Lonchura striata: one gene and its partner. The protein of the gene in region 2 interacts with the protein of the main gene of each other region in a biochemical or structural test. Links are inferred from orthologs where the notes say so. Each region holds a gene or a part of one and is shown on either strand. Other genes may lie near its edges.

Evidence for each region.
Region 1: the proteins of PLXND1 (region 2) and SEMA4A form a complex in vitro, tested with the Homo sapiens proteins (2 studies listed by IntAct, with this or other methods). The link is inferred for Lonchura striata from reciprocal best matches to the Homo sapiens genes PLXND1 and SEMA4A.

What each region holds. Positions count from the first base shown.
Region 1 is NC_134635.1:1,157,090-1,160,990, forward strand, and holds the start of SEMA4A (semaphorin-4A), read right to left. Parts: upstream 2,632-3,901; 5' UTR 2,593-2,631; coding exon 2,556-2,592; intron 1,233-2,555; coding exon 1,095-1,232; intron 132-1,094; coding exon 1-131. UniProt on the Homo sapiens protein: Cell surface receptor for PLXNB1, PLXNB2, PLXNB3 and PLXND1 that plays an important role in cell-cell signaling. Regulates glutamatergic and GABAergic synapse development.
Region 2 is NC_134614.1:23,986,688-23,990,588, forward strand, and holds the start of PLXND1 (plexin-D1), read right to left. Parts: upstream 2,717-3,901; coding exon 1,373-2,716; intron 1-1,372. UniProt on the Homo sapiens protein: Cell surface receptor for SEMA4A and for class 3 semaphorins, such as SEMA3A, SEMA3C and SEMA3E. Plays an important role in cell-cell signaling, and in regulating the migration of a wide spectrum of cell types.

The DNA of each region.
Region 1 (3,901 bases), on a different chromosome or scaffold from region 2:
GCCAACAGTGAGGGCCAGCACCCAGTCTCGTGCCCCCACGTACAGCTCCTCCTCACTCTCATCCAGGAGGAAGATGTCGTAATGGGAGATGTTGTCCTGGCTGAAGTGGGTGAGGGTCCGCCGGGGGTCCCCTGGCAGGAGCAGAGGGGTGAGGGAGGCCGGGGGTCACACACACCCCACCACCATCATTGGCGTGCGGATGTGGCAGCAGCTGCCATTGAGGCTCATCCCACACAGGAAATGGGGTGCAGTTCTTCCCCTTCAGCACCCACATCACCATCACCCCTTCACCCTCCAGGTTCCCCCCTCCCACTGTCCCCTCCAGCTCCTACTGCAAGAGCTGAGCATCCCCAAGCTGCAGACCTCCAGAAATGGGGGACATTTCCCCCCCAAGCTGTGCCTGTGATGCTTTGGTACCATGGCCAAGGGTAGTGCTCTGTTTGGGGGATGCACTGCCCCAGGGTGCCACCTTGGAGGGATTTCAAGCCCCAGGGTGCCAGGCTGGGGGGCATCACCAGCCCCCAGGGTGCCCTCAGGCACAGCCAGGGACTGCAGGTTCTCATTCATCCCCAGCAAACACCAAAACCAGAGGGTTTTTGCAATTTTGGGCACAGCTGCGTGGGGAAAAGGAAGTGACAGTGCAGTCAGGGCTGGAAAGGCTTGACCCTGCCATGGCACACAGACCCTCTTGCAGCCTGATTGCCACATCACAGCCCCTCCAATCTCCTGCTTTGCCTTCCAGCTGGACATGCCGTGCCCTGTCCCTTCCAGAGGCAGCTTTTCGTCCCCCCAGGGTGACCGTGAGCAGACCCTGGGTGCCAGCAGGGTGACAAAATCACTGTAGGATCTGGCCCATTGGGTGCTGGGGTGCCAAGCAGCCTCATCTACTCTCGTCCCCCATCACATCCCCCGCGGGCACTGGCGCTGTCTCCAGCCCCACGGGAGGGTCAGTGATGGGGCGGGCTGGGGATATGATGGGGAGCACGCCAAGGTTCCTGCTGCCGGATGCTCAGCCCTGGGGATGGCCGCCCTCCCAGCAGAGGCTGTGTACCCCCCTCCCGCGCTGTCCCAGCCCTTCCCGGGGCCGTACTCACCGCTGGGGAAGGTGACGCGGGGCAGGGGCTCTGCGCAGAGCAGGGCAGCCGGCACCACCACCCCGCAGAGCAGGCGGAGGGCGGCGGGCATGGCGGGGGGCGGCAGGGATGCGCCCCAGGAGGGTCCCACCACCATCCCTGCGGAGAGGCCGAGGGTGAGGGCACACGCTGCCGGGCTGCGTGTCACTGCACCCGGCGGAAACGAGACGGGGAAGCAGCACCCGGCAAGGAGGTGGGGGATGGGGGGCCCTCAGCACCTCGAGCCCCACTGACCCCCCCAGTTTGGGCACGAACTTCCCACTGCTGCATCGGCACTCAGAGATGTCCCCTCGCCCTGCGGGGCTCCTGCCCACAGTCTCTGGCACAGTCAGAGGTTTCCCCTTGTTTCACCCTCACCCTCTGGGCTCCTGCACGGGACCTCGGCACAGTGTGCAGAGGCTTTGGCCCAAGAGCCTCAGAGCCCATCCCCACCAGGGATTCCTCTGTTCGCTCCACCAGTTATCAGAGCGTCCACAAAATGGGGGGAACACGCACGGGAAGCCCCTTCCTGCAGCTCTTTCTGCAGCTGATGCCAGCAGCCCTGGGGGAAGAGCCCCGTCTGCAGAACCTCACGGTCCCCAGGCCCCTTTGCTGCTGGCCACCGTGTCCCCAGCGGGCGGCATTACCTCTCTGGCGGGCGAGGACCGGGCCGCTCACCTCCCCCGCTGGAGCACGGGCACCAGGCAGGCGCCCGAGCCGCGGGGGCTGCGGCCACGCGTCTCCCGTGGGCCCATGTCCCGATCGGCAGCCGCGGCCGGGCTGCCGAGCTCCCAGCCCGGCTCGTGCGGGGCTCGCTGCAGCCCGGCCCAGCCCAGCCCTGCCTGGCTCCGCCGGGACTGCGGGAACCTGAAAGTCCTGCTGGAAGAGGACGAGCCCCGGCAGGTTGGGGCAGTGGGTGCCTGCGCCCGCCTCCCCTGCCTCGCACCCCCGCAGGGACAGCAGCGAAGCCTGGCGGAGGCAGCTGGCATGGGAACCAGGGAGCTCTGCTCCTCCAAGGGGCGACGTGGGGGACAAAGGTGTGCCCAGATGCCTGGCTTTGCTTGCTGGGGAAATCTTTGGGGTGAGGGACACAATGGCATTTTTCCTGTGGATTCTATGGGCCAACGGCAGGCCTGAGTATCATCCCCAAAACCAGCCCCAGGGGGGCAGGCATCACCCAAAAAACCAGCCCCCCAGGGCAGAGCATGGCTCCCCACAAACAGCCCCACGGGGCACCCCCACAAAGCTCCTGCAGCTGTTCCAGGAACCCATTTACCTGGAGAGTCCATCCTTAACCCCAGGCTGCTCTGGGATGGCTGTAGGCAAGAAACCCCCCCAAAGCCAAAGCCCTGGAGTTCCTCAACATGAGAGCCATACCTGAGGTACCCCAATATCCCTCTGGACAAGGCTGAGGAGCATCCCACCCTGCTGGGGCCTCCTTACCTGCCTCTCCCATCCCCAGAGCAGCCCAGCGGGACATGGAGCCCCGGGAGGGCAGCGCTGTGCTCACCACCTTGCTTGGCTGGGACAGAAGCTCCTTGTGAGCACAGAAAGTAGGTTACTCTGCCCCGGATTTCCCACTTGGCAAAGGGCTGCCTGGGGGACGGGGCCGCACGGAGCCTTGGACCGGCCGCATTGTTCTGCCCTGGGCCATAGCCACCGAGGCCGCGGAGGGGGAGGCGGGATAGAAACGGGAGCAGAGGCTCCTCGGTGAGGCTGAAGGCTTGACTGGGGCTGTGGTGGGGCTGAGGAAAACCGCCAGCGTGAGCCAGGGCTGACACAGGATGTGAGGTGACAGCAGCCTCACGGCTGCTCTGACAGCGTGGGAAGGCAGAATCCCTTCTCAGCCTGGTCTCTCCTCTTTTTTGGGTCCCCTGGTCACAGTGCTCTGGGGACATGGTGGGGGGAATGTAATTTACAGCCTCCCTATATAAGATTTGGAACATGGGAGGGAGTCCCACCGAGGGTCTCAACACTGCGGTGGGTCAGGTTTCCCTGGTGCTTTCAGGTTGACCACAGCTGTGGCTTCATGGGTGTTGCTCCTGCTTGGGTCTCCTCCTGGAGGATTCCCTCTAAGCCAGGGAATATTGTGCTGTCAATGAACACGCACACTCCCTGCAAAGAGCACATCACCTGCCACAGGATGGAGCCAGGCCCAGCCCTTGCAAGGTGAGCAGGGGAGTGTGGAGCTGGTGGCACTGATCTGCCAGCTGCTCAGACATTCCCCGTGCCTCAATTTCCCACCGCAGAGAAGAGTTTGGTCCTTCTCTGCAGCTGGACTCCAGTCCCCTGCCCACGTCACATCCAGGAGCAGCCCTGTGGTGTGGGGGGTGCAGGAATGCTCCCAGCACCCAAGGGGGGCTGGGGGAAGCCCCGAGATCCAGAGCAGGGTGTGTGTGTGGGAGACGGGAGGCAAGGGAGGAGGGGGGTTGCACTGAAGGCATGGGAGGATGAAGGGGAGGAACTGGGGGGTGTACGCAAGAGGAAATGGGAGACGATTGTGTCGATGGGGTTGTTCGATAGGAAGGGTGGGGAGAGCCGGGGGGGGGTGCAGGTAAGAGAGAGGAGGATGCACAGGAGGGAGCTGAGGGGTGCAGGAGGTGTGGAGGGGTGCCCAGGAGATAGGGGAAAGGGAGGAATGTGAAGGCAGGGAGTGCGGGGGGTACCGGGGGGTCCCGGGGGTCTCCCCAGGGCCGGCACCTCAGCCTCTTTGTTGCTGGCTGGCAGCATCAGCGCTGGGGGTCCCCCAAGCCCAACCCCACTATGGCGACGTCCCCCTTCCCGCTCGA
Region 2 (3,901 bases):
GGAAAGGTGCTACCAAGAACACACATTACAGTGGAACAGTGTGACAAGCTGGGACCAAAGATGGAGTGAAATCTCATCTTTGCGTAGTCTCCTTTGAGTCACTCATTAATTAGCTGTCTAAATACCTTACTAGATACAGCATTTGATACTTTCAACATCAGTAGACTGGTGTTAGTCATGATTATTTTCTTTACTGAACAGAAGTTAGAAAAAACTGTATCTCCACAGCAGTCCTGGAGTCCTGGGGAAGCTTAGGGGTGATGGGTACATCTGCCTCTGCGTTTCAGTTATGGCCAGGCTGTTTGTTCACCTCAAGTGCCTCCAGCAGCCCTAGCCCCGATGCTGCTGCTTGACCCGCCTTGGCAGAGAGCTCAATCCCACCCGGGGCTGAGGGGCTGCTCCGCAAGGATGCTGAGCATCAGCCACAGCCAACAAGAACTACGGGTGCCTTCACACCCTGTAAATAGGATTCCTGACTCCCAGTGAGTCCTCTGAGAGCCGTGACCATGCCAAGATGTCAGGACTGAGCTCCCAGTGTTTAACACACCCAGTCTTTGTGGAATTAGCTCCAACTACTAGATTTGCTGGCTGTCAGGCAGCTTGTACTTTGTCACCAGGGAAAAACTGTTCAACTTTGCTAGAGTAGGTCTATGAACCAAGTGCATTAAGAGTACATATTTTACCACAGAGTAGAGATGCCACACTAAACACTTCGGTTACCATGGGAAACCTTTCTCTCTTTGCCACTGGCATTGCACAGGGAAGCCCAAGCCCAAATGCTCGATCTCGCCTCTGAAATCAAACAGATGTTTTCACAATCTTTGATGGAGCTGAGCTGTGCACTCGTCCCAAAGGAAGGTAAAAATGCAGCGTTAAAGCAGCCCTTTTCCCCTCTCTTTTTTCCCAAGCATGATATATTTTTAGTGAAAAGGGAAACAGGCGACTGTGTCTCGCGCTAACATTTACGGCCACTCAGTAACAAATTGTGACAACAGCAAACTTCTGCCACGAACTCGGGGAGCCAAGGCTGCCTGTGTGCCGTCCCTGGCAGGGCTGTGCGCCGCGGGACGGGACATAGAGCTGGCGATGCCCACAGACATCCGGGCGCGCAGGGCACCCACGAGAAGTGGGGCACCGGCAACCAGGTTAGGAGAACGATGCTGTCCCCGAGCAGGGGAGAGGGTCTCCGGGGAGGGCAGCGGGGTATGAGGCTCAGCCGCCCGCCCGGGGGACGCGGGGGATGCGCTCCAGCTCGGGAGAGGTGGAGGCAGCAGCGGCCGCGGGACGGGACACGAGATGCGGCCGCTGTCCACCGCCGGCTACCGGCTCCCCGCGCCCCCTCGCCCCGGCAGGTGTCCGCCGCCCGCCGTACCTGTATATTTCTTTTCTCGCAGGCCGGGCCGGTGCCCTGCACCACGCTGTCCAGCACGGTAACCATGCCGGCGGCCGGGCTGACGAAGCAGGAGTTGCGGGCGGCCCGGATCGTCTCCTCGATCTCGGCGAAGCGGAAGACGCAGAGCGCGGACTGCGGCCGGCCCCGGCCGCCGCCGGCTCCGGCCCGCTCGAAGACGCCGAAGAGCAGCTCCTCGGGGGGCGGCGGGGCCAGGGCCGGGCCGTGAGGGGCAGCGGGGCTGCGCCAAGCCGCCCGCGCCGGGAAGACGGAGACGAGGCGGGTGAAGGCGTCGGCGGCGCCGCCGCAGCGCAGCCCCAGCTGGATGTAGGACTCGGTCAGCTTCTTGGTCTCGCCGCTGCCGTTGAGGGTGGCCTCGGCTGGCTCGCCCAGGCAGATGCGGGCCAGCAGGCTGTGCGCCGGGCTCTCCTTGTCGCCCGCGTTAGCCTCAGTGTTGAGCGCCAGGTAGGCGTACGGGCGGCGGGCGGGCGGCGCGGCCCCGTGCTGCAAGAAGGCGCGGACGAAGCTGAGCTTGTGCCGCGCCTTGTCGCCCTGCTTGATCTTGAGGATGTTGTCGTCGGAGGGGTTGATGTCGAAGGTGAAAAGCTTGGCCAGGTCGCCGCGGGCGTTGAGGGCACGGATAGCGATCTCGGGCGTGTTCTCGAAGCGGTGGTCCTCCAGGCTGCGGTTGCGGGGGAAGAAGGGGCTGCCGAAGCCGGTGTAGGTGGCGGCCACCAGCAGCCGCGCCCCGCCGCCACCGCCGCGGCGCAGCACCAGCCCCACGGTGGAGGCGTTGGGGTGGTTGGCCGCGACGTTCAGCATGCTAGGGAAGACAGCGACCGAGTCGCTCCCGCCCGGCGGGAAGCGCACGGCCACTGCCGAGATGTTTGCCATGCTGCGCAGCTGGCAGAGGCCCTGGTAGATGGAGCCGCAGACGACAAGGACGCCCTGCTCCGGGTCCGGCTGCAGGATCTTGTTGTAGTTGTTGGTGAGCACCCTGGGGTGCTCACAGGAGGCCTGCGGCAGCTGCGGTGCGTGGCACAGCGGGCTGTCCAGCACCGGCCCCACCGCCGCCTCCGCCTCCAGTGCCAGCTCGCCCCCCGACAGCTGGAACAGCCGGTTGACGGCCGCCAGGTAAACGCGGGAGCCGGGGCCGTCCAGCGCAAAGTTGTTGGTGAGGGTGGGCGAGAGGAACTTGCGCTGCACCTCCAGGCCGGCGGCTCGGCCGGGCAGGAGCAGCGGCAGCAGCGGCAGCAGCAGCGGCAGCAGCGCGGGGGGCCGCGGCTCGGCGCCTGCCGCCGGAGCCGGGAGCGGAGCCGGAGCCATCCCGCCGCCGCGCCGCACAGTGCATGTGCCCGTCGCCGGGCGCGGGAGGGGCGGGCGCGGGGCCGCTTCCTGCGGAGGCAGCGCCCGCCGCCGAGCGACGCCCGCGGGAAGTGGCGGCCGCGGCGGGGGGCGGCGGGGGGCGGCGGGGCGCGCGGCCGCGCCCCTTCCCTGCCCCCGCCCTCCGCCCGCCCCCGCGCCCGCCCCCGCGCCGGTACTCACCGCGTCCCGGTGCCGCGGGCCCGTCATGTGCGTGCGGTGAAGTTACCGGTGTCTCCCGCGCCGCCGGCTGGGCGGCACCGAGCGGCTCAGAGGGGCTTCGGACAGGGCGTCCCCCCGCCGCCTGAGGGGCTGCTCCGGGCTGTCCCCCTTCTCTGCTCTGCCTCCTTCGCGTTTTCGACCAGGACAGGCCGGGGGGGAAGGGGCGGGGGAAGAAGCACTTTTCCCAGCTGCGGAGCAGCGCGGCGAGCCGGAACAGCCCCTCCCGGAGCCCCCTCGCACCCCCCGCAGCCCACACATCCCCCCGCAATACCCGCTCTCTCGCTCCCCGGGGACCGGGCGGGGGACGAGGCCCCACCCCTGCAACGGCTCTGCCCGCACCACTCGTCAAAAGTACAGCTCGGACTGCGCGTCTCCTCTGCCCTCCAACGGGCGCCTCTTTAACAAAAAAAGACCCAAAGAAGTGATTTCCCAAATTATACACACTGGGATGATGTAGGGGACAGCCCTTGAACCACAGCCCCATCCCGTGGCATCGCTCCACCTGAGCGGGTTCACTCCTGCTGCCTTCCTCCCCGTCTGCGGGAATGTCATCTGGCTCCTCGTGGCGAGGAGACACGTCCGAGGCTGAGGAGCGCTCCTGGGCAAGGCTGTAAGGAGAGCCCGGGTCCAGCCCGGGATGGGGCAGACAGGCCGCGCATCCTGCAGCAGATATTTGCTTGCCCATGTATCTCATGTCCCTGCAGGCTTCATGAAACAGCCCTGAGCAATTAATTACCCAGCTGGCCTCCTGCCACAGTATCGTGACACAGGGCACAGCCATAGGTCGCCCAGGGGCTTGACTCCCCGGGCAGCACACCCAGGTCCCGATGCAGGAGGGGACATGGGTGTGCTGCAGCACATGGCAAATACCAAGGTCACGACATGCTCAGCATTATGTGCATGCTTCAAACAGAAGCATTGGCAGAG